3 linked regions of the Rattus norvegicus genome follow. The protein of the gene in region 2 interacts with the protein of the main gene of each other region in a pairwise test. Links are inferred from orthologs where the notes say so. Each region holds a gene or a part of one and is shown on either strand. Other genes may lie near its edges.

What was found.
Region 1: the proteins of Lnx1 (region 2) and Ldoc1 interact in a two-hybrid assay, tested with the Homo sapiens proteins (2 studies listed by BioGRID and IntAct). The link is inferred for Rattus norvegicus from reciprocal best matches to the Homo sapiens genes LNX1 and LDOC1.
Region 3: the proteins of Lnx1 (region 2) and Zbtb43 interact in binary tests that used the Homo sapiens proteins (3 or more experiments, as listed by UniProt). The link is inferred for Rattus norvegicus from reciprocal best matches to the Homo sapiens genes LNX1 and ZBTB43.

The regions. Positions count from the first base shown.
Region 1 is NC_086039.1:144,996,896-145,007,075, forward strand, and holds the start of Ldoc1 (protein LDOC1 precursor), read left to right. Parts: upstream 1-4,871; 5' UTR 4,872-4,947; intron 4,948-10,180. UniProt on the Homo sapiens protein: May have an important role in the development and/or progression of some cancers.
Region 2 is NC_086032.1:33,956,880-33,966,959, reverse strand, and holds part of Lnx1 (E3 ubiquitin-protein ligase LNX), read right to left. Parts: intron 6,679-10,080; coding exon 6,510-6,678; intron 5,084-6,509; coding exon 4,858-5,083; intron 1-4,857.
Region 3 is NC_086021.1:37,156,552-37,166,731, forward strand, and holds the start of Zbtb43 (zinc finger and BTB domain-containing protein 43), read right to left. Parts: upstream 4,935-10,180; 5' UTR 4,835-4,934; intron 1,176-4,834; 5' UTR 1,115-1,175; intron 1-1,114. UniProt on the Homo sapiens protein: May be involved in transcriptional regulation.

The sequences.
Region 1 (10,180 bases), on a different chromosome or scaffold from region 2:
TATCTATGCCCCAAATACAAGGGCACCTACATATGTAAAAGAAACCTTACTAAAGCTCAAAACACACATTGCACCTCACACAATAATAGTGGGAGATTTCAACACCCCACTCTCATCAATGGACAGATCATGGAAACAGAAATTAAACAGTGATGTAGACAGACTAAGAGAAGTCATGAGCCAAATGGACTTAACGGATATTTATAGAACATTCTATCCTAAAGCAAAAGGATATACCTTCTTCTCAGCTCCTCATGGTACTTTCTCCAAAATTGACCATATAATTGGTCAAAAAACGGGCCTCAACAGGTACAGAAAGATAGAAATAATCCCATGCGTGCTATCGGACCACCACGTCCTAAAACTGGTCTTCAATAACAATAAGGGAAGAATGCCCACATATACGTGGAAATTGAACAATGCTCTACTCAATGATAACCTGGTCAAGGAAGAAATAAAGAAAGAAATTAAAAACTTTTTAGAATTTAATGAAAATGAAGATACAACATACTCAAACTTATGGGACACAATGAAAGCTGTGCTAAGAGGAAAACTCATAGCGCTGAGTGCCTGCAGAAAGAAACAGGAAAGAGCATATGTCAGCAGCTTGACAGCACACCTAAAAGCTCTAGAACAAAAAGAAGCAAATACACCCAGGAGGAGTAGAAGGCAGGAAATAATCAAACTCAGAGCTGAAATCAACCAAGTAGAAACAAAAAGGACCATAGAAAGAATCAACAGAACCAAAAGTTGGTTCTTTGAGAAAATCAACAAGATAGATAAACCCTTAGCCAGACTAACGAGAGGACACAGAGAGTGTGTCCAAATTAACAAAATCAGAAATGAAAAGGGAGACATAACTACAGATTCGGAAGAAATTCAAAAAATCATCAGATCTTACTATAAAAACCTATATTCAACAAAATTTGAAAATCTGCAGGAAATGGACAATTTCCTAGACAGATACCAGGTATCGAAGTTAAATCAGGAACAGATAAACCAGTTAAACAACCCCATAACTCCTAAGGAAATAGAAGCAGTCATTAAAGGTCTCCCAACCAAAAAGAGCCCAGGTCCAGACGGGTTTAGTGCAGAATTCTATCAAACCTTCATAGAAGACCTCATACCAATATTATCCAAACTATTCCACAAAATTGAAACAGATGGAGCCCTACCGAATTCCTTCTACAAAGCCACAATTACTCTTATACCTAAACCACACAAAGACACAACAAAGAAAGAGAACTTCAGACCAATTTCCCTTATGAATATCGACGCAAAAATACTCAATAAAATTCTGGCAAACCGAATTCAAGAGCACATCAAAACAATCATCCACCATGATCAAGTAGGCTTCATCCCAGGCATGCAGGGATGGTTTAATATACGGAAAACCATCAACGTGATCCATTATATAAACAAACTGAAAGAACAGAACCACATGATCATTTCATTAGATGCTGAGAAAGCATTTGACAAAATTCAACACCCCTTCATGATAAAAGTCCTGGAAAGAATAGGAATTCAAGGCCCATACCTAAACATAGTAAAAGCCATATACAGCAAACCAGTTGCTAACATTAAACTAAATGGAGAGAAACTTGAAGCAATCCCACTAAAATCAGGGACTAGACAAGGCTGCCCACTCTCTCCCTACTTATTCAATATAGTTCTTGAAGTTCTAGCCAGAGCAATCAGACAACAAAAGGAGATCAAAGGGATACAGATCGGAAAAGAAGAGGTCAAAATATCACTATTTGCAGATGACATGATAGTATATTTAAGTGATCCCAAAAGTTCCACCAGAGAACTACTAAAGCTGATAAACAACTTCAGCAAAGTGGCTGGGTATAAAATTAACTCAAATAAATCAGTTGCCTTCCTCTATACAAAAGAGAAACAAGCCGAGAAAGAAATTAGGGAAATGACACCCTTCATAATAGACCCAAATAATATAAAGTACCTCGGTGTGACTTTAACCAAGCAAGTAAAAGATCTGTACAATAAGAACTTCAAGACACTGAGGAAAGAAATTGAAGAAGACCTCAGAAGATGGAAAGATCTCCCATGCTCATGGATTGGCAGGATTAATATAGTAAAAATGGCCATTTTACCAAAAGCAATCTACAGATTCAATGCAATCCCCATCAAAATACCAATCCAATTCTTCAAAGAGTTAGACAGAACAATTTGCAAATTCATCTGGAATAACAAAAAACCCAGGATAGCTAAAGCTATCCTCAACAATAAAAGGACTTCAGGGGGAATCACTATCCCTGAACTCAAGCAGTATTACAGAGCAATAGTGATAAAAACTGCATGGTATTGGTACAGAGACAGACAGATAGACCAATGGAATAGAATTGAAGACCCAGAAATGAACCCACACACCTATGGTCACTTGATTTTTGACAAAGGAGCCAAAACCATCCAATGGAAAAAAGATAGCATTTTCAGCAAATGGTGCTGGTTCAACTGGAGGGCAACATGTAGAAGAATGCAGATCGATCCATGCTTATCACCCTGTACAAAGCTTAAGTCCAAGTGGATCAAGGACCTCCACATCAAACCAGACACACTCAAACTAATAGAAGAAAAACTAGGGAAGCATCTGGAACACATGGGCACTGGAAAAAATTTCCTGAACAAAACACCAATGGCTTATGCTCTAAGATCAAGAATCGACAAATGGGATCTCATAAAACTGCAAAGCTTCTGTAAGGCAAAGGACACTGTGGTTAGGACAAAACGGCAACCAACAGATTGGGAAAAGATCTTTACCAATCCTACAACAGATAGAGGCCTTATATCCAAAATATACAAAGAACTCAAGAAGTTAGACTGCAGGGAAACAAATAACCCTATTAAAAAATGGGGTTCAGAGCTAAACAAAGAATTCACAGCTGAGGAATGCCGAATGGCTGAGAAACACCTAAAGAAATGTTCAACATCTTTAGTCATAAGGGAAATGCAAATCAAAACAACCCTGAGATTTCACCTCACACCAGTGCGATTGGCTAAGATCAAAAACTCAGGTGACAGCAGATGCTGGCGAGGATGTGGAGAAAGAGGAACACTCCTCCATTGTTGGTGGGATTGCAGACTGGTAAAACCATTCTGGAAATCAGTCTGGAGTTTCCTCAGAAAATTGGACATTGAACTGCCTGAGGATCCAGCTATACCTCTCTTGGGCATATACCCAAAAGATGCCTCAACATATAAAAGAGACACGTGCTCCACTATGTTCATCGCAGCCTTATTTATAATAGCCAGAAAATGGAAAGAACCCAGATGCCCTTCAACAGAGGAATGGATACAGAAAATGTGGTACATCTACACAATGGAATATTACTCAGCTATCAAAAACAACGAGTTCATGAAATTCGTAGGCAAATGGTTGGAACTGGAAAATATCATCCTGAGTGAGCTAACCCAGTCACAGAAAGACATTCATGGTATGCACTCATTGATAAGTGGCTATTAGCCCAAATGCTTGAATTACCCTAGATCCCTAGAACAAACGAAACTCAAGACGGATGATCAAAATGTGAATGCTTCACTCCTTCTTTAAATGAGGAAAAAGAATACCCTTGGCAGGGAAGGGGGAGGCAAAGATTAAAACAGAGACTGAAGCAACACCCATTCAGAGCCTGCCCCACATGTGGCCCATACATATACAGCCACCCAATTAGACAAGATGGATGAAGCAAAGAAGTGCAGACCGACAGGAGCCGGATGTAGATCGCTCCTGAGAGACACAGCCAGAATACAGCAAATATAGAGGCAAATGCCAGCAGCAAACCACTGAACTGAGAATAGGTCCCCTGTTGAAGGAATCAGAGAAAGAACTGGAAGAGCTTGAAGAGGCTCGAGACCCCAAAAGTACAACAATGCCAAGCAACCAGAGCTTCCAGGGACTAAGCCACTACCTAAAGACTATACATGGACTGACCCTGGACTCTGACCCCATAGGTAGCAATGAATATCCTAGTAAGAGCACCAGTAGAAGGGGAAGCCCTGGGTCCTGCTAAGACTGAACCCCCAGTGAACTAGTCTATGGGGGGAGGGCGGCAATGGGGGGAGGGTTGGGAGGGGAACACCCATAAGGAAGGGGAGGGGGGAGGGGGATGTTTGCCCGGAAACCGGGAAAGGGAATAACACTCGAAATGTATATAAGAAATACTCAAGTTAATAAAAAAAAAAGAAATGAACAATAATTTGATTGCATAGCTTGATAGTAAAACAATTTTATTGTGCTGTTAGCCAAAATATTTACCTACAGTAAACATATAGTTAACATTTCCAACAAATTTACAAAATTATACAATGAGAAGTTAACCTCAACTTTAGAGTATTTTCATTTCTCTAATAATCACGTTGCCCTTCGGTTCTAATTCCATTTATTGTTTTTTGTTGTAGGATACGGAGCTGATATTATCTCTTCTAGTTTCTCTTGCTATTCATAGAGAGTGTAAACTATATCTTTATCTGTTAATCTGCTTGAAACTGAGCTACAAGTGGATAAAGGTCCTCAGCATAAAACCTGATAGTCTGAATCTGGTAGAGGAAAATATTTGGATTATACTTGAATTTACTGACACAGGAATGCATTTTCCCCAGTAGTTAATACATTAAATCCAATTAATACATGGTAACTCATGAACTAGACCGCTTCTGTAAAACAAAAGACACTACACTATCACTTAAGTAACGAGGCAGCCTTTAGAATGGGAAAAACTTTAACAATTATGTATGTGGGATGATGTCACTGGTGAGGCAGGTACAAGATAGAATGAGGCCTGTCATTGGACGAAAAGGAAGGATGGGCGGGAGAAAGTTTTGAAGGAAGAGGAGGAGACAGAAACGGAAGAGGGGAGGAGAGAGGAGCGAAGCCGCGGCAGAACAATTTGGAAGCCTGTGTTTAGATTCCACGCTGTACCTCAGCAGGTTATATATGTTCTTAAGGGATGGATGTGTAATGGGCTTTGTATGTTTAGGTGGGCAATTGTATTTTATCAATTGGATCAAAAATTATTGTGTTGTATCATCTTTCATGTGTAGATTTAAATGTAAGGAAGTGTGGGGCGGCTTGTCTGGGTCGACATGGAGTTGGGATGTGTGTTTCTGGCATGGAAACCTGCCTTGGGACCTAGATAGGTAGAGAGATTTCTTCCAGGCTCAGAGAGGCCTTCGGCAGTGTGATATGGGATGCAGCAGAGCAGGTGAGACGCTTTGCTGACTGAGTTTGGGATATCTATCAGATATCTTGGGGGTACTGTGGTGCCGGACCTAGAGAGGGTATAAGACAGCATTTTATTTTTATAATTTTCAACAACATATATATCTGACACGTTAATATTTAGAGTAAACAAGGAACTACACATCAAGAAAACAAACAATGTAAGTAAAAAATGGGGCGTAAAATTAAACAAAGAGCTCTCAAAAGATGAAATGAATATGACGGAGACATTTTGTTAAATGGTCAACATCCTTAGCCATTAGGGAAATGCAAAGTAAAACTACTTTCAAATTTCCTCTTACTTCAGTCAAAATGACTAAGATACAAATAGCAAGTGATGACAAATACTTGTAGGGATTTGGGGAAAGGAAGCACTTGTTCACTACTTGTTGAAGTTATTCATCAGTGTGTTCACTGTGGAATTAGTGTAGAGTTCCTCAAAACACTGGAAATTAATCTACTGCTTGGGCATATACCAAAAGAACCCTATATCTTACTAAAGAGACACTGTCTCATTCATGTTCAATGCTTCTGTATTTATGATAACCAGAAATGGAAACTCCCAGATGTCCATCAACCAATGAATGGATGGTAAAAATATAATACATTTATACAATGCAATACCATTCACCCATTGAATACTAAAGTTGAATTTTTCAGGTAAATGCATGTATTTGAAAACAATCATTCTGAATGATGTAAAACAGACACCCTCCTCCCCAAAGGACAAATGTTGATTGCTTTTACTTGTTGCAGATGCTAGTTTTGCATCTTCAGATTTGTGTATTTATTTTGAAATGCCCATGGAAGTCAGGAAACTAGTAAGGACATATGGTGGGGCATAGGATGCTTTTAAGGGACCAATTAAATGATGCAATCATTTAAAGGGAGAAAAGGGAATAGTGAAATAGGAGGAATGAATAAGGTGGGAGATGGGTAAACTGGTTAGAAGAATATATACATAGAACAATAACAAAAGATCTATGTACAAAGTCATATGGAAACCTATTCCCACATATATTGGAGCTGTTAGCCAGTGAAGTCCCATAGACCTCCAACTATTAAATGCTATTGATATTGCTCTTGGTTATCCTCCAGAACTTGACAGTAAGACCTTATTTCTGATGACACCGCATACTTGAGTCATAGAACAGAAAGAAGTCAAACTGGTATCCATCTGATAGCTTCATTCTTACTGGATAAATTCCATGTTGCTGAAAGGTGCTATGTACGTTAACAGAATGGAAAAATAATCAGTAACTAACTCAGTTGTACAATGGTGGCATGGATATTTTAAATGTAGTAAACTATTTTTTTTCATTTAAGGCCTGTTCCACAAGATGAAACACATAACTAGCACAATTATTGAGGGCAAGAACTTTTGATCAGGTAATTCATAGTCCCTAGGGAAGAATTTGCTATTATTATTCTGCTAAATGGACACAGTGTTAGTATAAAACTTAGCACTATGCTAGTAGATTTGTGGGTAGTTCAACCCTCATCACCGTCATCGGAGTAGCTTCTTTTTGAAGTAAATGGTGCTAACATAAAGAACTAAAAGCAGCTCCGGTGCACTAGAGTAATAAACTACAGAATTCTCAGCCCAAATATGATAAGTGAATCATACCTCTTCACCCAAGTCAGGGATTATTGCAGAAGAAGGAGTGAAAAAGAATGTTAGAGCTTGTCAATGTGGATAAGGACAAAGAAACAGTACTTTCTGGGAACAACTATGTGGTTTCACATGAAACCCACAGTCACTGAATGTATACAACCCGTGTAAGTTCAAGCCCAACAGAATTTCACCACGGGGAGAAGAGGTGGGTATATTTCACATCTATGTGAAGACGATTGTCAGTTGATGGCTTCTAAAAAAGGAAGCATCAGTTTTGCTTAAGGGTGTGGCTTAAAGTCTAATGGATGACCCTATACCCAAGAATATAAAGATAACCCAAAGCAGACTGGATGAGTTAAAAACAAAACACAAAACCCCAAACACAAAACCAAACCAAAACCCCACAAAGTTCGGTGGGCAGGACAAAGGGCATGAATCTGGATGGTTTTAGAAGAGACAGTGGTGAATATGCTCAACTTGTATGAACTTAAATAACTAACAAAAGTACTTTAAAAGAAAATGGACATATACAGTATGATGGTATTTTTTTTTCCTGCCATTTTCAGTTTGTATAATTTTCCATTCCAGCATCAGTGTGTTAATGCCAATTCTGTGTGCCCTTACTGGCACGTGACATTTTCACATTTTCCTTACTATTTTCTTGTTTATCTGGCAGGGCTGTATCTCGAAGTTTCACCCTCTTTTTTCCTAGAACTTCATGATATTCTGCATCTTCACCAGTGATTTCTATTGGTGCATTTTCTCTTTGGAAATGTTGGTTCACATATTTTTTCATGTTAAATTCTATTTTCTCATTATTCAATGTTTAAAGTTTTTCATGTACTTTGAATAGCCTGCCAGTAAAAAAAATATGTAATTTTAAAATCTGAGTTTCATAACATATTTTATAGCCTATCATATAATTATATTTTAATTATGTTTTCAAGAATACAAGCCTTAAATTTCAAGTCAAATATATGGTTTTCAAGAATTGTGTTTTGATATGCTTTTCAAACAACAAATATTTAACCTGAGATCACAAGATGCTCTACAATGTTTATTTAAGGAATTTATACTTTTAACTTTTATAGTTAGGTATATGAATAGTTTTGTGTCAATTTTATGTATACACTAGAATTACTGACATTCATATTTTCCACATTTATAGCCAATAGTTCCTCAAACACTTTCTAATATGGTTATGCTTTCTTCACTGTATTACTTTTGAAATTTGATGAACAATTCTTTGATATATTTGTTTAATTTAATTTGATTTGCTCTTTATTAAAACACAATTACAAAATTCTACCCCATTAGCTTCTTTATAACCTCCCTCATGTTCTCTTGCCAGTCTATATCATTTTATGGCTTCTTTAAAAACTTATTATTGTTAAACACATACAAACATAATGGCATGCCAACAGGTGATGTTATTTTTTACAAGTCTTGTGTAAATAGCCATATTTTTAAGTCATCATAGGTATAGCTTCCCTATCATATCTAGAAGACATACTCCTACTGAAACCTCTTGGTTCTATGACTTTTATAATCTTTCTGTCCTCTTTCCCTTATATTCTGGGCTTTAGACGTAGGGATTTTATTGTATTTTTATCAACTGGAACTAAATATCCCATGGTTACGGTACTCTGCATTTCCCTCAGTGTAGCTTCCTGTAATGGTGTCAATATGTTGTAAAAAGAAGCTTCTTTGAGAAAGATTAGAGCTAAACTACTCTATGAGTATAAGGATAAGTATTTACAGTGTTAGAAATTCTACTGCTTTGGGAAAGTAGAAGTAGTTTGCTTTCCTTTAGGATACATATGTAGTTGGCTAGGTTTGCAGTACCAGGCAAAGTACATGCCTTGAGTTCAATTAGCTGTTATTTATCATGGAACAAAGAGCCACCATTTCACCATAGGGATTATTTCCTCTGTCTTCTCATTGTAGTGATTTTAAAGACTGTGTGACTGAATAAGACTATTGGTTGATTGCAATCTTTTGGTATTAGGAAAGTTAATAACCAGATATAAAGCTTTCAGGTCTGATGCACTTTAATTCTTCCAGGTCCTGTGTCCAAAACATATGGTGTCTTAATTTCATGTTCTAGAAAGAAACCAAGGGCCACAGCAGTAGCTTATATTATTTTGGGGAGTTTTTCAGACTCTCCTTACCAACAACTTGAAAGGAAATTTCATGTCTTGCAGAGTTTTTTTTTTTCTTTTGATAGTGGATGGCTCTTTAGGAGAGCATTATCACTCCATGTGTTACACACACACACACACACACACACACACACACACACACACACACACACATATGTAACAAAATCAAAGACCCCAAAAGAGTACATGTACATAACCACACTCCTCTGATATTTGAAAAGATGCCAGTAAGTTCAATTGGAGAAAATACAGCACTTTTAACAAATGGTGCTGGAAAAACTGGTTGTCATTACACAGAAGAAATAAATTAGACCTATATATGTCACCTTGTACATAAATCAACTCCACATAGATCAAATAACTTAATGTAAAGTCTAAAATGCTGAAACTGCTGAAAGAAACCTAGGCAGTATTGTACATGACATAATTGTAGGAAAGAATTTTGTGAACAGGATTCTGTTTGCACAAGAATTGAGGCCAACAACTTACACAGGAATCTCATAAAGCTAAAACCTTCTGTAAACCTAATAAAACAATCAACTGAATTTCCTAAAACATGGTATCAAAGAACATAGCTACTTTTTTAGTAATTAGTCCTAAATAAATGGCAGAGTTACATGCATGTTGGTCAACTACAGCTTTTGGATTGTTAAGTGACATTTCTGTTTAACTAATTCTTGTTCATAAATGAATTTGGCTTTGATTCTAGTCTGTGTCAAAGACTGAATATTAATGTTCTTCAATTATGTACTTAGAGAATAATTTATTCGTATAAAATCCAGACCCAAATATGAAATTCAGTACAATCATTAGGGATAAGAACCCAAAAAACCTCAGGCTTCAGGCATTTAGCATCTGATATAGTTTTGCATACTTATAAGGTATACTGGATTGACCTTGAATACCCAGTAGGTGGATGTAATATATCACTCTGTAGTTAGAAGTAGCAGAGTTGTGGAAGTAATTTTAAAATAACTTGAAGAATAAGAAATTTAAAAATACTTAAACATTTTTGAAGTTGGCTAGAAAGCAGCCACTAGATTGTTAGATGATAGACAATATCAAGCATCAGGATAGACACAAGATATCTAGAGATCACCTGACTGATGGATGAAAGATAACAGAGATAAAGTAAACAGAGGAGAACTTTAGAATAATTGGCAC
Region 2 (10,080 bases):
TCTGTCCTTTTTCAAAATGTCATCTCGATTTTGTTAGCCCTGTCTGCATAGTTCAGCTAACTTACTTGTAAACATTACCATTGTAAACTCTGGGTAGAATCTAGAGATCCTTCCTCGTGAGTAACTCCTGGATTAGGGATCCTGTGTCATTCCTTGCTCTCTGCTAGCACTCTGCTACTGGGAGCCATTCAGCTCATGAACAAAGTGTCTGTCTTTAGTTGATGCTTAACCACCTGGGCAAAGAACTCATCCAATCCAGGTGGGATAAAAACATCTGCTCAAATGGTGCTCTAAGTCAGTGGTCTGCAGAGCTTTCTACGGTAACCTTTTACTTTATAGTTCGTGATAGTAGGCACTTTTCTAAGGACATCTTGTCCTCTAGATTCCGAAGTCAATAAAAGGCTTTTCTCAGTACATAAGGGATTCATTGTTTCATCAGTAAATGTCTACTGACCAGCAGTTCCAGATCTTCTGAAATAGTTATTTTTGGAAGGGTCCCACCATTGTTATAGTAAACATTAAAATGCATCATTTTACATGATTAAATATAGGTAGGCTTGGGGGCAAGTGTTCAATACGTTTTTGAAAATAACTTTTCTCTTGAAATGCTGTGGCCATTTGGTTTTTGATGGATGGGAGTTTCCAGTCTCATAGGGAAGGTGATTGGAAAAATGATGGGAAATAAGGTAGCAAGCAGTAGTGAAAGCTTTCTGTGCCATCCTGGTGCAGGGCTCTGTTACGTGAACTCCTCCAGAACACTTTCTGGGAGAAAACAAAAAAAAAAAAAAAAAAACAAAGACATAAACCAGCTAAAGCTAAATATAGGCATTTAATTTAGCATTCTTTTGGGGATACTTCCAACTTACTAATGCATCGTGATTAAAATCATAGCCTAAGTCGGGAGTGGGAGGCTCGGCTCAGAGCTCAGCCATGCAGCATGAGCAGGTCATCTGGCAGCTCTGAACCTTAGTTTTCTTCTGAGTCACAGAGCATGTGATTCTTGACTGCAAAACACATGTGAAGCTCCCAGAAGCAGCTCTGGTCTTACTCGGGACTCATATGCATTAGAGCCTTCGTAGCTGCCCTTACATTGCATGTCTTAGATAAATCAACACCAGGGGCCTAGCTCACGTTCTAAGTGTCAACGTTTTTAACTTGGGGAAGAAAAAAAATACTGATGCCTGTTTCTTTCCCAAATAAAGTATGTCCGGGGCTTCAGGAGAGGAAAGGGTTAAATTCTTAAGCAAGAAGAGAACTGAGTTAATGCGTATTTCTATCATGCTAGTCCAGATGAGAACATGCTTTGAAGAACTTCCAGATGTGGAATGTGGGCCCTGAGAGTCAACAAAGTAAAATGTTACCAGTGGTCTCTGAATGGCTGGTGATAACTGGATAGCTGGCAGAAAGTCCAGCTGCTACAGGGGTCCCGCAGCAGACGGTGCTATCAAGGAGCGCACAACTACTAACACTCTTATCTGGTTTTCTATCACCTACTCTTACTCCTGGCTGTTTGGTTCCACACAGGAAATGCTAGCGAGGCATAGTAAGGCTACCCATGGTTTTCTTGATTCTAAGCCGGCTGCTGACACATGCTTCTTCATTGGGTCCTAGAGGTCTTTAGGTAACTGGCAAGATTGTATATTTGGACAAATATCCTTTCTCATGCTTTGATGAGTGAAAGGTAAAATGTATTTGCAAATTAGACATTTCTGGGCATGTATCGTAAAGGTTTAATTGTAGTCTAAATCTAACATAGAATTAATTATGCCAAGGTGTGGTTTGGAATCTCTTACTCTAGCACTTCCCTTCTGTGTCTGGAGACATGTAGGATAATGCTGACGTGTAGGTAAGGGCTTTGAGAACTCAAGATGACAGCTGTGAGAGGATGCCCACCCCCACCTCACCCCAGTCCCCACCCCCACCCCATAGAAACTGATGCTGTACCCCTGAGATGAGGCTAGGACAGGACTGAGACCTGAACAGGGTCAGTGTCGTCATATTCAGTTTCGTCTGGCAGAATGAAGTAGATATGGTTTCCTTTGTGTTAAATTCACTATCAAATCAACCAGGAAACCTGGAAGCAGAGGCCATCATCATAAGCAAAATTGAGTTACCACGTGTGAGGGAGAGCTGGCAGAGGGCCAAGAACAACAGGAAATTCAGCAGAAAGAACCCTGTAGCCCACGCTAACCACGCCAGAAGTGGGCAGGCAGGTTTCCTCAGGTTCAGCTTAGCAGAGAAGAAAGATGTGCAAAGCAGTGAGAACCCAAGCAGATACCCACATGAGAAAGAGGAGCCTAAGTATGGCAGGGCATCATGAGTGGCCTGCTAGGCTGACCTCAGATGGTTATGGAGAACTCAGACACCCTATACCTGGAATATGGCTCTGACCCTTTCTCTCACCATCCTTCAGGAGACAGCTGCCCAGGAGGAAAAAAAAGTTCCACTAAAAGATATTTGAACCAACCGAGCTAATAATGCTACATAAGAGAGCAGGTGGGGAGAGGTAACGGGAAAGAGATAAGGAAAGCCACTCCCTAGAAAACTGTTACACAGTGAAATGCCTCTATGGGCTATGAAATCGATAATTAATCACACCACTGTGATTTAAAATACCATGCAGCAATTGCTCTGAGTGAAGAGCAAGAACCCAGTGTGAATGAGATTTCAAAGATGATGCTAGGCATGGTCATGCATGCCTATAGTCCTCATACGTGGAAGGCAGAGACAAGAGCATGGCTGTAATTTTGATGGCAGCCTGGGCTGTGTACCAAGGCTTTGTCTCACAAGGAGTGGAGGGTAGAGGGACGAAGGAAGGAAAGAAGAAAATCAAAGACAACACGCTGAGGAAAGCCTCTCAAATGAAAGTAGTCACAAAGGAGCAGCCATTCAACGGAGTGACAGGGAGTGGGGCAGGTGAGGAGCACAAGCCAAGCAGGCAAACAGAACCAAGAAAGTCGAGAAAACAACCAAGAGCCGATATCCAGGGCACACATCTGGGGTCCCCAGAGAGCTGAAAGAACTGGACAGCTCTTCTCAACACTAAGGACAGGTCACGTGTGGAGGGAAGGGCATGAGACAGCTTTGTCTTCACACAGCTTGACCCTGATCATCACAGGTGCCACCCCTAAAGAACCAAATGTGACACAATAGTGTGATATCCACCTAACCTGCCACCTGCCATCACAGATGTGGCTCGTTTAACCCATCCGTGCCAGCAGTGGACACAGGTGGTGCACTGACTATCGTGACACCCCAAGTCAATTTTTGGGTTTAATTTTCAAGCTTTGGATCATAAGAGCTCACAGGTCACTGCTGTGTTTGAGTGAATACACTGATACCTAGGCTGGGGCCTCGAACTACAGCCAAGCCCGGAAGCTTTTGTTCACGGATGGCCTATGGCTGTCTTTATGCTACAGCAGCAGAGTGAGCAGTTGCCAAGGCCCTGTGCCCTATAAGCCCAAGCCCAAGCATTTTGCAGAAACAATCAACTTCTGACATAGACAGACTTTCCCTGGACACAAACTCAGGACCTGGGTAATGCTGGTTACTTCTGAGTGGACTAAATAAAGGCCCAGGAAGGAGAGCTACTTCCCGCTCCCTCTGCTCTGGTACCTCTGACCAGAAAGGCTCCAAGGGTCTGAAGTCCCTGTCATCTCATGTCCTTTCACTCTTCCCGACAAGTGCAGAGAATTGCTGCAAACGCCAGGTGGCCTGCAGGGGAAGAGAGGAGCCATGGGCCCAATGCTCTATGCCTCACGCAAAGGAACACTGAAGAGCCTAACAAGGGAGCTTTCAAACAAAAGCTATAAACAGACTTGGGATTATAGTTCCAAAATTTCATTTAAAGGAAGTTTACTCAATATAATAGTCTCCTGTTTGGCTATAACAGCTATAATTTGCCTCAATACTCAGTGTTCTAAGGACTTTTAAAAGACCTACTTATGCAGAAAGTAATGTTAGGAACTTGCGGAAACCCCAAAGGGAATCCAGGCCAGCTTGTAGCTACTAAATAAATAAGAACCATTTCTACCTTCAAGAAAATGTTTTAAAACCAAGTAAATACCTTGCTTCCATTATTTCACCTGTTCTGAGGGACCTAACACTGGCGACACCCATTTTGAACGTTTAAGCTGCGTACTTGCAGACAACAATCTAAAGGCCAGCAGATCTTCGCTCTGTTCCAAGGAAGCAAACGTTAAATTTACCCGTCCTTTAGTCAATTCATGTACAGAGCCATTTTGTGGAGATCTCTCCAAATCCTCTGAATCCATCGTGTCAGATAAGTTTATAGCTCATTGCAAGGCTCCCATTATACCTCAGAAAAATGGCAACCTAGTTGCCCGCTAAAGAACTTTCCAGACGAGTCACTGAAAAGAGATGTTCTGAGAAACATCACCAGCTAGCAGACTCTTAACTCTCTGAAGCCACGGTGTTCCGCTGTGCTGCTGTGTGTCTAGTCAGAGCTTCTAGAAGCTTCAGAGCAGGGCCACAGCTGGCCTGCAGCTCCCACTCATACCCGTGCGAAGAAGAAGCTTGGCGTGAGCAGATGCAATCAGTTCATGAGTGTGGAAACACAGGCTGAACTTCTGTCAGCCAGCTGACCCCCCCTGCTCCATGAACCATCTGATAAGTACAAACACTTCAAGAATACCTAGAAGTTTCTCTGTCTAGACTTTCACCTCCACCCTGAGATTTCTATATGGATTTTCATTTGCCCGAAGAAGACAGTTATTTCAGACAGCCCCACAGAGAAGACTGGGTCTTAGCAAGATGCTAGTGCCCATGAATCAGCCCAAGACAGTGAAAGAGTGGCTTAAGAAATAGAATCCGTAGGGGTGTTGAAGTGGGACTCACTGTGGTAATTCCAGCCACATGACCCAGGATGGGGACCAGTCACCAGGCGGGGTCACGTTGTGGTTGGAGTCCAGGGCTGCTGGGCTGCAGTCTTCCTGGGTCTCCTGTTCCTTGACTTCCAAGGCTTTGAGTACCACTGAGGAGGGTGTGCTCTTCAGTATGGCAACGGCCTCTGTCCGGCTGACCTCTGTGAGCTCAATCCCATTCACATTCAATAAAATGTCACCTGAGGCCAGAGAAGCAAAAGCAACCTCACTGAGTGCAAATGGGATTCTGCTCGGTGTGACGGGACAGAGGCTGACCCGGGCGCATGGGCAGGGTGAGGAGAGGTGCATATCTTCAGCTCACAGAAACCCGAAGCTGGGTCCCATTTAGCAGATGGCAGAGCATGTGGGACTGGCTTGTTGGGAGTCTCTAAGGATGGCCTAACATCCTTAAATAGCTTCCTTTACTACTTAACCCCAGGCAATCTGCAGTTTCACTCTTTTAGTTTCCATTTTCTTTAGCACACAATGAGAGCACTTGACAAAAGGCTCCAGTACCTGTACAGTCTAGCATGTAGGACACTACCAACAAACAGGGACCGGAGCAGGAGTTTAGTGTCTGGCACAAGAGCCCAGAGCTTTCACAGAGGTGGGGTACAGTCACCATTTCTAGTCAATGCATCTCTGTGCATGGCAATAGCTAAGCACGACTCCTATGGGTGACGTGCTACAAGGAATCTCACTAAGTCACTTCTTGTCTGAGGTCATTCTTCACCCCGGTGCTCGCTGAGCTGCAGGAGAAATTAAGATGGATCTCCCTGCCCTTGCTCCCTAATCTTTCAATTGAATCTCCGGTTTTTTGTTTTGCTTCTTATACAACTTTTTTTTCATACAGAATAATTGAAGACAGGAGGAAAATAACAAGGGATGTCCTCAAATGCTTGCAGACTTAAAAAAAAAAAAGAGAGAGCAACACCTTTTGATTGTCTGCTTAATTCCTGTACTATGCCACACTCAAGGGAACATATTTGAGAAACTTTTTTCTGTCGAATCTGAGCCCTTAAGAAGCACAATTGTTCCTCTCCGTAAGTGACCTCTTCATGTGCTTGAACAGCGTTATTAAGAACACATACCTGCGGAGGTAAACTGGATACCTTCCTGTATGTAGAGGAGCCCAGAACATGAGTGGAAAGATCCATTTCTCACCAATGGGCAAAGTGATATTTAATTATACCATTGAATCGAGATCTATCAACACATTCATCCCATTTAGCCCACAAAACTGTACAATTCGTAAATCAGTTTCACTATTGGAGCATTCCGTAGAATCCATAGGGGCGTTAGATTGCATGGATCTAAATTGTGCTTTAGAATTGTGCAATTGTGTGCAACTTGCTCACAGGTGTAGCGGCTGTCAATTCAGCCAAGAAAGAAAGTCTAGAGGCGCTACCTTTCCTAGCAAAGCTGCCTCCTCCCCTCTCCCGTGCACTAAGAGAGGCAAGCCTAGACTACAGCATGCTCACCCTGCCCAAAGGAGCGTAGCAATCATGGCCAGCTCCCTCTCACATGCTCTCCTTGACTCTGGGAGAGCAGTTAGCGAACCCAGCAGGCTGCTAACTCCGCCCAGGCTCTGCCACCCCATGCCTTTATTCTCTTTGATTTTTGTACCTGTTTTTATTCTTCCGTCTCTGCTTATGACTCCTCCGGGCTCAACACTGATGACATAGATGGGCAAGTCCCATTCTCTGTGTGATGCTCCCCCTCCAACGGTCATGCCGAGAGATTCGTTGGGGTCTTTTTGGACACTTACAACCTTCTCATGACAAGTGGCTGCAGGCTGAAGGCACAGACACAAAGAACATGGTGCATGCATTCACCAGGCCCATTTACTCACACATATCCGCGCACTCGCATCAAAAGAGTTATTAGCATCACGAATTCCAGCACCGCAGATACAGCATCGCAGATTCTAAGGGTTGACTCTGAGAGGTTTGCATTGCAGAACGGAATACTAAACACAGAAAGGCCACAGCCTGGGGACCGTGGTAGAAATCTGGATCGTATACATTTGGCTGCATCCCGAATCTCTCAAGGAAGCCACCCACTTCTGATTACAGTAGGCCAACTTCTCAGAACACTCACTGTCCCTGTCAGTACATCTTTCATATTTAAAAATCATATTTATTAGCGGAATGTGTGGAAGCTGAGAAGCACATGCTACAGCATGCATGTGACATGTAATTGTCAGAGGACAATTTACAAAAGCTGATTCTTTCACTCCACCGTGTGGGTCCCGGGGATCAAACACACTCTGGTAAGGCTTGACAGCCAAATACCTTTACCTACTGAGCAATTCTGCCAGCCCAGCAAGCTTCTCTAGGTTTACATTTTTTTCTGACGTAATGGACCTCATATAAACGCCAGCCATATAAAATGGTGGCTAATGTGTAATCCAGAGTTCGGGGATCCACAGAGAGAGAAGGCTGGTTAAGACTAGTCAAATACGCAAGCTTGGCTTAGGCGGGAAGCAATCTCAGTAAAGATGTAGAGAGCAACCAAGAAAGATACCCGGTGTCATGCTCTGGCATCTACATGCACACGCTCACACATGCGCATGCTGTCACGTATTTGTCAATGCCCATATGCACGTGCACGCAAACCATACAGAGGCACACATTGGGCCTATACGTTTTCCCCATTTTTGGTACTTTCCAAACCGCTGAACCAAGTGGCCGAGCACCAGGACTGCGCTTGGCCTGTGTCCCTGATGGCCGTTTGCCTTCCCCACCAGTGGGAGAGAGAACGTGAGAGAGAGACAGATGGTAGTGATGGAGAAACTCGAATCTCTGAGTTAATTCCTCATGCTGACTTGCTGGGTTTGGGGCAGGAGGAGGAACCTTTGGCGGACAAAACTCTTTCTGTCTGACCTGCTCACTCTACTTTAAAAAGCTGACTTATGGGTTGGGGATTTAGCTCAGTGGTAGAGCGCTTGCCTAGGAAGCGCAAGGCCCTGGGTTCGGTCCCCAGCTCCGAAAAAAAAAGAACCAAAAAAAAAAAAAAAGCTGACTTATGGTGAAATAGTTCATATTGATTAAACCATATGGGCACTTAAGTCTATGGAGCATTTATGTTTTAGAATGTTTACCCGGGATTTGGAAGAATAAGACATTCTAAACGTCTAAAAAGCATCAGGACCCTGTAGCTTGATAATCAGTGCCAGGGTTAGTAACTGTCTCTGTGACATGGAGCTGGTCAGATTCCCCTTCTTCTTTCATGATGGTGAACACAGGCCTAAAGATGGCGCCTGTTGGTACCTAACTCTTCACCGGGGTAGAAGCTTTCCTGTCCCACAAACTATGGCTTGCTTTCTTTGGTACTTCTTGGGAGCACTTAAACTCCTATTTTCAAACGCCACATTGTTTTCCTAAATCAGTTTAAAACGTAATCATCAACAGCCAGGTAGATCCCTTTATGGGTGTGGCAGGGGTGTGTAAGGGGCAGGTAGAAGTATGATTGGAAAGAACTTCGTTCCCGGTGGGCCAGCATGTTTCCTGGAATTCAGACACATGACACAAGGTTGTAACAAAGATCTCATTAGACCATCCTGGCTTCCCCATGGCTCATGGTAGGCAGGTAGAAGGAGTTACAGAGTCTCATTGGGGTTTCTGAGATAGCTTCATGGTTTCCAGCACTGACTGCTCTTCCAAAGGTCTTGAGTTCAATTCCCAGCAACCACATGGTGGCTCACAACCATCTGTAATGATATGTGATGCCCTCTTCTAGTGTGTGTGAAGACAGACACAGTACTCATATACATAAAATATATAGCCTTTCTGTGGTATAGGTCTCATTTCTATGTTTAATGAATGAAAATATAACACATTCTACTTAATACAGCTGGTTAGATACAAGCTTCAGGCAAGATTTTTAAAAAATCTCACATATATTTTGACATCAATGAATACTATCAGATAACTTTAAAACACTAACAGTATTTATTATTGGGTAGAAAGTATCAGGGAGTCCTTGTGCATAAAACTTTTTAGCAGGGTACACTTAGCTTATCTAGATTGCTTCCCATACAAAAACATGGAACTCGAGGATTTATCTAGATGCCATTGGCTGGAGATTTTGAATGAAGGTGATCACAGGCTCCTGATTATAAAGCAGAGATGTTTTCTGCAATTATTACTCAAAAAGACCCTCAACCTTTGGCCCGATATGGAAAGAAAAATATGTTCATTCATTCCATCATCTCCGTTTTGGAAACAGGCTACATATAAAGGCGTTAGGTTGTATCCAAACATCGATTTATATCTTTATGGGCATGGCTGTTTTGCCTACTACATGTATGTACACCACCAGGTGTGTGCAGTGCCCTTAGAGACAGAAGAGAGCATCAGATTCCCCGGAAGTAGCGTCATAGAGAGTTGTGAGCTGCTGTGTGGGTGCTGGGAACAACTGGGGGGGTCCTTTGCAAGAGGAACAAGTGGTCAAAACGATTGAACCCCGTTCCAGCCCTGCTTATCTTTAGTAACAAGTACCACGATGACACAAGCTACCAGAAAGAGGAAGCTGTCCATCTTCGTGACAGAGCCAAGGTCAGAGGACTTGATCTGGACTGGACAATGTGTTGATAAGACACCATCAAAATGAACTGCATACTTGCATCTCATAGAAGCCACAGACAAGAACGTACTGGACTGCATCTCCTGGGGCCACTGAGATGGCTCAGTGGGCAAAAGAGCTTGTCACCAAGCCTGCTGATCTTAGTTTAAGCCCTGGGACCAACATGGTGGGAGGGAGGAAGAGAACCAATTGCCACGAGTTATCCTCTGACCTCTACACATACACCATAGCACATGTGTGTCTACGTGTACATGTGTGTATACCTCGCCCTACAAAATAAATGAATAATTTAATATTTTTTTTAATTTCTGGATTTAAATGATGTAAGATAAGACATGTGCTCCTGCCTTGTCTGAGGCCCCGCTCCCCTTAATGCTCCATGCTCTTCAAGTATGACCAGTGTCTTCCTTGTCTTTCGTACAAACACAAACATTAAAAATAGCAGGGGGCGGGGAATAGCAAGGGAATCAGAGTTTCCAGGCAGGTTGGGAAACTCAAAAACCACGAAATCAAGCAAACTGCTTGCCGCCTTTGAAAGCGAATGGAAAACAGTCCTTATGAGGAAGGATTCTTGGTCAAAAGTAGGACATGCATTTGGCTTACACTAGAA
Region 3 (10,180 bases), on a different chromosome or scaffold from region 2:
ATAAAAATTAAAAATAAGGGGCTGGGGATTTAGCTCAGTGGTAGAGCGCTTACCTAGGAAGCGCAAGGCCCTGGGTTCGGTCCCCAGCTCCGAAAAAAAGAACCAAAAAAAAAAAAAATTAAAAATAAAATCAAAATAATGCAGAAGGCAAGGGGCCTTCCTTGTATTGAAGTCTCTCTTGAAACAGACTGCCTCTGTCACCCTCCATGCTGACGAGCTGAGCAGTAGACACTATTTATTCTTCAGCTAAGAAAACCTTGTATCAGATCTCAGACACCACTTCAACAGGGAATAAACACCCTAAAAGAGCAGACAGCGGAGAAACAGGGAGGCAGGCCTACCAGCTCCAGTACTGGAGCCCTCCAGGGATGGCTGTAATCGGAGCATATGGTAATTTGCATGCTCACTGTAGAAGGCACAGCAAGCGCGGTAAATGTTACTTTAGGAAATTTAAAGTCTGGCACAAACGTAGAAAATACCAACACCCTGTACCTACCAAAATTCCTCTTGTTAGTCAAATGCCTTGCATCCACAAAACAGCCTGTAAACCCGGACCCTAGAGCCTCAACATCCCACTGGGTTCAGAGAGCAAGCGGAAGCACGCAGGTGGGGGTGGGGGATGGGGGCACCTCAGACGTCCAACTCCAATTCTAATGAATACTTTTTTAAGTAAAAAAAACAAAAAATCATTTGGCGGAAACTTCCCTCTGAAATTAAGGGCCTTGTTAATGTAAGGTAGCATAGTTGAGAAGCCTTAAATTAAAATGCACAGCATTTCCTCTACGGAGGAATCATCTGATCTAGCCCATTAAAATCTTGGCGAGGGGTTAGAGAATGGCTATGAGCGTTGGCTGCTCTTTCAAAGGACCCAGGTTTGATTCCCAGCACCTACATGACAACTCTCAACCATTTCCAATCCTAGGGGATCTGATGCCCATTTCTGGCCTCTGTGAGCACCAGGCACACACATGTTGTACAGGTACACATGAAGGCAAACATCCCCACATATAAACAAACATTGAAAAACAAACTTGAAAAATTACATTGTTCTGGTGATAGAAAATTATTTCAACATAGTCCTAAAAAATACATTATTAGTAACTGTGTGGCTTACCCGAGAGCAAAGTTGTGTTCCCAGGATAATGTTCCTTATGTCATGGCCATCGAAGAGCAGTCTGAATGGATACAGAGAGAATGCACTTCTCAGTTTTGCTGTAAATTAAATCACACTCATTTCTGAAAGGAAAAATCACCCCAAAAACTTAAGGTGCTGGGTTTGAGATAGCTCACTGGTTAAAGAGTTCTTGCCGCTCTTTCAGAGGATCTGAGTTCAGTTCCCAGGACCCATGTCAGGTGACTCATAACTCCAGCTTCAGGGGACCCAACTCCTTCTGGCCTCTGTAGGTACCCAATACACATGGCATGCAGGCACATACTCACATAGGCAAATAAAGTTAAATCTTATAAGAAAAACGGGACTTGTGTGTAATGTGCTTCCCTGATGAACAGTATGAGGGGCAGACAGTGATTATGGCTGCTGCTAGCCAGTCAAAGTAATCCCAGAACTAACCCTACACGGCAGGACTCCATCAAAGCAAAATTTTTGATTAAGAACTTTCATTCTAGAAACTCTTGGCTTCTGCGGTATTTTTAAATAAAGTTTTATTACACTTTAGCTTCTTTTCCTATTGTCAGAAGACAACCTGTCCTCTCCTGCCCCCACATGGGTGCAGGGGATCAAACCCAGGCTGTCACACTCAGCAGTGTTGAGCAGGGCCAGGCCATTTTGTACCACTCCTCCATCTTGGCTGAGCTGTGTGATGACTCTTGAACTAAAGTGATGTTTCTATAGGTTCTTGCCTTCCTGCCTAGTCAAACCCAGGAATGGCTGGCCAGGAAAGATACATATTGATTACCTAAAGGTCTTAGTCACAAGTGACTACTCATCCATTACCCCCCAGCAACAAGCAACTGCAGAACCAAAGAGAAACTTGTCAATCTCTTTTCCCTCTACACCACTAAGGGACCCTCTGCCACGGTTCTCATGCCCTCCTGAGCCCCTGCCGCACTAGTGTCTACATTACCCGTGCAGGGCATCACTCTTCTAGAATGTTACCCTCAGTGGTCCCCCTCGATCTCCAAACCTTTCAGAATGGTGTGGAAACCCGGAGAAAGCTCCCTGACGTAGGTTGCTTCCCAGGACCCCACCACCCTGTTACTGCTTTCTCCCCACGCAACTCTGGCCTCCACGTCCACGGATTTTCCTGCCGTTCCATCCATTTGTTGCCCTTTCCCTGAAACCTTGAGTCAGAGCGTTCTGGTCAGGCTCCATTGCCTTCAAAGCAGCTGTCTAAGGACACTTATTGTCCTCAGTTCACTGTTAATGACAGTGTCACACCCCTGGAAGGGACTTCTGCTGGGAAAGAAAACTGAGGCAGCAGCATGTGGTCTGTGAGGGTTTAGAGACCCACTCTGAGGGTTGGCTAAGCAGCGCGGCCAGCAGGTGCACTCATCTCCTCAGTTCAGGGAGCTACCTGGGCTCCACCAGACAGGATGTATGTGGCAGTTTTAACAGCTGTGGCTACTGGGTAATGACTAAAGCACTCCTGGCAAACAGTTTCTGATGACACGAGGGATGACTCCACTTGGAAGAACTATAGATACAGTTCTGAAGCAGACAGTACTCAAAGGACTCCCAAAGCCGGGATCTCCTGAGGTGCTAGCTGATGGCTCTTTATTTATGTTTCTCCTCTTCTAAGACCCATAGAGTGTGCACTGATTTCATTCTTTAAAACTCTAAGCCAAAGTGTTTTAATTAGGACGAAGAAGCACAAGTGCTGGGAATGAATTCTGCTCCAGGCAGGGTTTCTTTTCTTGGTGAAACAGAAAACACTTGGTGGCATCTAAGAGTCAATGAAATACGACAGTAAGTCAACTGTTAGGCATATTAGAAAGTTTGAAGCCAAACCCGTTGGCAAAAGTCTTTAATCCCCAGCACTCAGGAGGTTGAGGCAGGAGTATCTCAGAGTTTGAGGCCAGCCTGTCCCTATAGAGATCTTGTCTCAAAAAAACCAAAACAAAACAAGGCCAGGCATGGTGGCACGGGTCTTTATTCTCACCACCTGGGAGGCGGATCTCTGAGTTCAAGACCAGCCTGGTCTACAGAGTGAGTTTCAGGACAGCCGAGGCTACACAGAGAAACTCTGTTTCGAAAAAAGCAAAGACTAAAACCAAACCAACCAACCAACCAACCAGCCAGCCAGCCAACCAAAAAAAAAAAAAAAGACCTTAAAGGTAGGTAAATCAGAAAAAACAAACAAACAAACAAACCCCAAAAGGCCTAGCCTATGAAAAAAGAACAGACCACCTTCTACGCCAATAAAGGAGTATTTTTTTCCAGCTTTACAAGTTCTTTGCCTGTCAAAGGTACTGTGTTTCTCAAATTCCCCCTCAGTAGATCTCTGCAGTGACTCTAAAGGGGCCAGGAGGGAGGGAGGTGGAAAAGTGCTGCCACAAGATTAAAGTCACTCAGGGCCCCAATCTCCTAAGCCTCGGCTGAGCCTGCTGCTGTGAGGGGCTTGACTTGCATCACGAAAAGGGATTCAATTAAGTGTTCCAAACCACGGTTACTTGTGTTGACACTACATCGTTCACACTGATGTGCACAAACCATTTCTAGAATGTCCTGACCATCTCTTAAAACTGTATCTACTGAATGGCGGCCTGGCACTTGATATATTATGTTTCGTGTCCTGTCTGTCCCAGACGCTCCATTCCAAAAGTTTCGGTGTTCATCCCTGTGTCTTCCTCTCAGACAGTACTTTGGAAACAAGCAAGGAATCAATTTCTATTACGTTTTTTAAGTTCTTCACTAAGCTGCTCCTAGAGACTCTGCTACTGTGCTAAGTTAAGGGTCTCAAAGGCAGGTGGAAGTCTGGCCCTCCCTAAGCCTGTATGTAGATGCTGGCCTGGTTAAGCAGGGCACTTCCAAACAGTCCTGAAGGCAGCCTGGGGTTCCTGGAAAGAGCAAAGAGTTGTGGAGACCAGTGCAAACCTCTGGGAAGAGAAGTTCAAGATACACTGAACTGCCTAGATCCTGAGATGGGACTTCACTTAGGACAGTAGCTCGTGACACTTTGCTAGGTTTGGTGACACTTGTCAGAACTGAGGCCAGACTGTAGTCAGACTACTGGTAATGTTGCCTGGGCAGGGGAGTTTCACAGGGTCATGAGTCACCTTCCATGTCTCAGAGGTCCAGGCAAGGCCCGCCCTGCCTAAACAAACCCAGTTGGGAGGGAGAGAAAAAAACCCAGACAAATGGCCAAGAAGTCGGTGTGACATTCGGGCCCTGAACCAAAGGGCGGCCCGAGGGGACAGTAGCAGGGTCAAAACACACTGAGGAAAAGAGGAGACAGAGGTAAAGACAAAGTCCAAAGACTGTCAGCACCAGAGATGCAAAGTGTAAACTCCAGCTGACAAGAGGCCAGGTGAGGACAAAAACAGGTGACAACGGTCTGACAAAGAGGCGAAACTCAGAGCAGCGAGGTTCTCCTTCACGGCGTCGGTTCGCGCGTAGGTGGCTCGACCCCGAGGTCGCCCCGGGGGCGGATTCTCCAAGCTCTCGAGCCTGCGGTGCACCTGCCGCCGGGTGACCTTGGCCAGGAGGTCGCCCGGGAGGCCGCAGGACTCCAAACCGGGGAGCCGGGGCTTCGGAATCACTCGCGCCGTCCCGCATCACCGCCGTCGGAGGGAACGCAGTGTCCCGTGTCGCGGACACTCGTGACCCCGACCGCGACCTCGCGCGCGAGCGCCCAGCCTCCCCACACCGCCGTACCTTCAGACGGCTCCGCGCTCCCAGCTCCAGCCTACCGGAGCGTCCCTGTTGCCGTACGAAGGCCTTATTCTCCGCCGCCACCGCGGGGACAACTTCCGCCCGAGCCTCTCGCCCCTCGGATACGCTTTCTGATCCCGCCCCCGAAACTGCCAGTGCTTCCGGAGGCGTGTCAGCGACGCTGTGGTGTGCGTATGCTCCAGGAGTCCTTTCTGGGCGGGTCTTCAGGAGAGCACGCTAGGGGCTGGCGCCTGCGCAATGGTTTCGAAGCTAGTTCGTAGTTCGTAGCTCTTTGAACCTAATCGATAGTTCAGCGTATAAAGGTGCTCGTCGCCAGGCCTGGGTACTATCTCTGGAGCCCGTGGTGGAAGACTAACTCTTACAAGTTATATGCTAACCTCAAAAGCGAACTATGGTAAACGAACGCTCACTCCTCCCCAGTCCCCCAAAGAAAAAGTAATAAAATTCCAAGATGGCTTTGAACTCACTATGTAGCTCGAGTTGGACTGACATCCACTCGTGCATGTACCTACTGAGTATCAGGATTGCAAGGATGTGTCCCCATTGTTGGTGTAGGGTGGATACCCCGACTGGACCAAACATACATTTGCTTTAGGTTAGACAGTTTCCTAGGTGTGCGCGCCAGTAGGGCTCTGGAACTCAGACGTATTCAGAGAGAAGGCTGTGACTCTCCAAGAGAATTATTCAAAGAAATTCTGGGACGGCTGGAGAAATGGCTCAGCGGTTAAAATCACTCATTTCTCTTCCAGAGGACCTGGGCTCAATTTCAAGCACCCAAATGGTGGTACACAGCCTCCTTAACTCCAGTTCCAGGGTATTTGTCTCCCTCTTCCGGCCTCCACTGACACCAGGCAGACAAACAATACCCAAAACCGTTTGCAGGCAAAACACGCATACACATTTAAAAAAAATTAAAATAAAAAAAGTTCGGGGAAACAAAACAGAAGAAAACAAATACTGAAACACAGAACTGGGAACAGGTGCAGAACATCTTGCTAGGGGGAAAAATGTGGGGCTTAAGGAAATGGCTCAGTTGGTAAATCTTTTGCAAAGAATTGCAAACTTGAGGACTTGAATTCAGTCCCCAGAACTATATAAAAATAGCAGGTGTGGGGGGCTGGAGAGATGGCTCAGTGGTTAAGAGCACTGACTGGGGCTGGGGATTTAGCTCAGTGGTAGAGCGCTTGCCTAGGAAGCGCAAGGCCCTGGGTTCGGTCCCCAGCTCCGAAAAAAAAGAACCAAAAAAAAAAAAAAAAAAAAAAAGCACTGACTGCTCTTCCAGAGGTCCTGAGTTCAAATCCCAGCAACCACATGGTGGCTCACAACCATCTGTAATGGAATCTGATGCCCTCTTCCGGTGTGTCAGAAGACAGCTACAGTGTACTCATATACAAAATAAATAAATCTTTAAAAAAAAAATAGCAGGTGTGGCGGCAGGATTTTAATGCCAGAGCTTCGGAGGCAAGGATCAGAACAACAGGGAGCCTGCCTAAAAGGAGTAGATGGCTGGGGTTGGGGATTTAGCTCAGTGGTAGAGCACTTGCCTAGCAACCGCAAGGCCCTGGGTTCGGTCCCCAGCTCCGAAAAAAAGAAAAAAAAAAAAAGGAATAGATGGCATTACTGATGGTGGCATTACTGATTATGACACTGGAGGTTATCCCTTTGACCCGGATAACCACCCATAGGTCTGTATATCCACATCCGCACGAACACATACAAATATACATGCATATAAAAAAATCTTGGGGCTGGGGCTGGAGAGATGGCCTAGAGGTTAAGAGAACTGGCTGCTCTTCCAGAGGTCCTGAGTTCATTTCCCAGAACCCATGTGGTGGCTCACAATCATCCATACTGGGATGTGATGTCCTCTTCTGGCATGCAGGCATACAAGCTGATAGAACACTCATAAACATAAAATAAATAAATCTTTAAAAAAAATTGGGGATGAAGAGATAAGTTATGAAGCTGTCTTGGGCTACATAGGTCATTCTGGGTCAACTTGAACTGTGCAGTGAGATCTTATCTCAAAAAAGCAAAGCAAAATAAAACCACAGCACAACCGGTAGTAAGGTGGTTAAGACTCAGGGCAGCTGCTTGGCATCATCTGAAAGCTACACTCTGTCTCCAGACTTCTTGCTCTGCCTGCCTTAGACCTTGTCGTATCATGCGTGTCTAATGATGCTTGAAGTTCCCAGCTTGTGTGCTCAGAGTCCAGAAGAAACTTGAAAAAAGTGGTGAATCATTTAAGGAGCGTATTCAACTCGATGCACTTAAAAATACTTTCTCGGGGGCTGGAGAGATGGCTCAGTGGTTAAGAGCACTCAGCTGCTCTTCCAGAGGTCCTGAGTTCGAATCCCAGCAACCACATTGTGGCTCACAACCATCTGTAATGGGATCTGATGCCCTCTTCTGGTGTGTCTGAAGACAGCTACAATGTACTTATATAAAATAAATAAATCTTAAAAAAAAAAAAAAAACTTTCTCCCGATCCTCCCACAGTGATGTTTATGGGTTCATTTTCTTTGCCTGCTTGTGGCAAGAAGTTGGTCAGTCTATACCTGATCCAGTACCACCAGCTAATCATGAGATGACCGAGATGGGTTGGGTCAAGTCTGAGTCATCAGAGACAGCAGAGATGAGTCTAGCTTCCTCAAGTTCAAGAACCCACACCTGCTCCCTGAACAAACTATTTGTTTGATTTAATAGTCCCTGGGGAAGTTCCCGGAGGCATTTCGGGAGGTCATACGAGTGCCTGGGTCGGGGATTGGGGGTGGGGTCAGAGGACAATTTATGAGAGCTGGTTGTCCCCTTCTTCCACGAGGGTCTCGGGGATTGAACTTAGGTCATCGGGTTTGGTGGCTTTACTTGTTGGTTCATCTCACTGGCCCTAGAGTAGTTTATTAAGAAGTAATTTAAAGGTAGACTTTAAGAGACAGGGAGGCACTTGAGAAGAAAGGAAGACATAACTAAGAGCATGGGTGTGGGCTTCCCAAAGGAGGTCCTTATCTCATTGGCTTACAATGATCACATGTGGGGTTTGGGAGAATTTTGAAGTTATTATCTTCAAATATTTACTTTTGAGATATACCTGACAATATTAAAATTGTGCATAGGTGTTTGTGGATGCCAGAAGAGGGTATTGGATCCCCCTAGAGCTGCAGTTACAGGCACTTGTGAGTCACCCAACCCTGGATTCTGGGAACTGACCCTGGGTCCTTTGAAAGATCAGGAAATGTTTTAACCATTGAGCGGTGTCTCCAGCCCCTTGAATTAGTTTCATCTTTAAAGGCCATTTAAATCGATAGGTTCCTCTCCTTATCCAATATGTCCCTTATTTGCTTGTAGCCAAATGTAGTTCCAACTGGTGAGCCTTTCCAAATAGAAACACTAAAAGATTCAAAGGAAATATTAATGTGATTTTAAAGGATGAGCATCTTCTAAGGTGGTTTGGAGTATGCTCTGACAGTATATTAACCTTCAGGACATCTATGCTGTTCAGCTGAGAGCCTCAATGTGTCTGATCAGCAGGAAACACCCTGGAGTAGTTTCAGCAGGAAAGGACCACAAAGACAAAAAAAGGAAGTCTATCAGATAGCTGTTGTTAACCCCAAAGTGGTGGATGGCAACAGAAGTGTGTTCATTTGTGGACAAGGTCTTCAGACTTGCTTTGAACTTGCCACAGAGAGGAAAATGACCTTGAACTGCTTGCCTCTGTGTCTTGAGTGCTGGCATCAGGGACATGAATCATTATGTCCAGTCCATGCAATGCTGAGGGTTGAACACAGGGCTTCATGCATGTCAGGCAAGCACACTACTAATTGAGTTACTATGTGTGTATGTGTGTGGTGTGTGTGTGAGAATGTGTGTGTATGTATAGATATATATGTATGTGTATATATGTACGCATATATGTATGTACATGTACATATACACATATATGTATATATACACATATGCATCTATATCGATATCCACTTCCATTTCCATCTTTATATCTTAAGCTACGACCATTTGAGCTTAGATCTTCCTCGCAGGTGAGCCAGATTTACTCCAAATGAATTCATTCAGGCAGACCCAGCCTAAAGGGATAGCACCAGCCCAGGAGCTGCTCTCCTGACCAGTCAGAGGGTCTAGCACTTTAAATTTTCTCTTGTGGGCTGGAGAGCTGGCTCAGCGGTTAAGAGCACTGACTGCTCTTCCAGAGGTCCTGAGTTCAAATCCCAGCAACCACATGGTGGCTCACAACCATCTGTAATTGAGTTAGTGTCCATGTCTTCGTGTTATGTGCCATTGGGGATAATTCATAGCCACAGTAGTGAACAGATGACAGACTGTGGGGAGACCGCCACTCAACCTCTGTTTCCAGGACCTGAGGTTAGAGTTTGTGTTCAGCCATATGTTGGGAGTTCCGAGATGCATGGAACAAGATGGGTGTCACTGGGGAAAGAATGCACTAAGGGGCATTGAGCAGGTCACATTGTCTTCGGGAAAGCTGGGATTCAATCATGTAGCCAAAACCCACATGACTATCAGGATAGAGGACTAAAGCTACCAGCCATTGACTATTGCCACTGCTCACTGCAGTCTGCAATCTTGTCATCTCTGCCGCTTTGGAGATTGATCCTCTGCGACTGCACACACACACACACACACACACACACACACACACACACGCACACGCACACGCACACGCACTCCAAGCTGCCTATGATCAAGTCAGAGCAGTGACAAGGTAATGCACAAGGAGCAGACATTTTTGTGTTAAACATGGCAGGTGTGGGGGTTTTGATGTCCACATAAAGCTATGCACGCTCAAGCCTTTGTTCCTCTCTGTGTTTTTTGTCTTGCTACCTTTGAAGGATGAGAGACACGAAGGCTCTCTTTGATTAGTCTCTTCCTTCAGCTCCTTTCCATCTCCCCTCTCCCAGAACTGTGCACTGGGAGGGCTATGTGGGTGGACTTCTTTGTCTCCTGGCTTTGGTGTGGCCCGTGGGAAGAGATTCAGAGCAAACTGGTGGGAGGCAGGATTGTGTATGAAAGGATTCTTTGGGGTGCTATCAGCTGCAGACTTGTGGACTGGCTGCAGTATTTGCCTCGGCTTGGACAGTGGCCTTCTACTTCCAGGCCCCCTGCCTGAATCCCTTCTGACCTCAGGTGGAAGCAGTTCTCTGGAGTTAGTAACTTTGGGATGCTGTACAGTTGATTGATTCCCTTTTACTCTCCTAGCCCTCCGTATCTTTGCAAATAAGCCCGTTACTGAGTGCTCCCTAATTACCCACCTGTAGGGAACCCTTAGTGAAGCAGGTAAAAGTTCCCAGCTCCATGAAT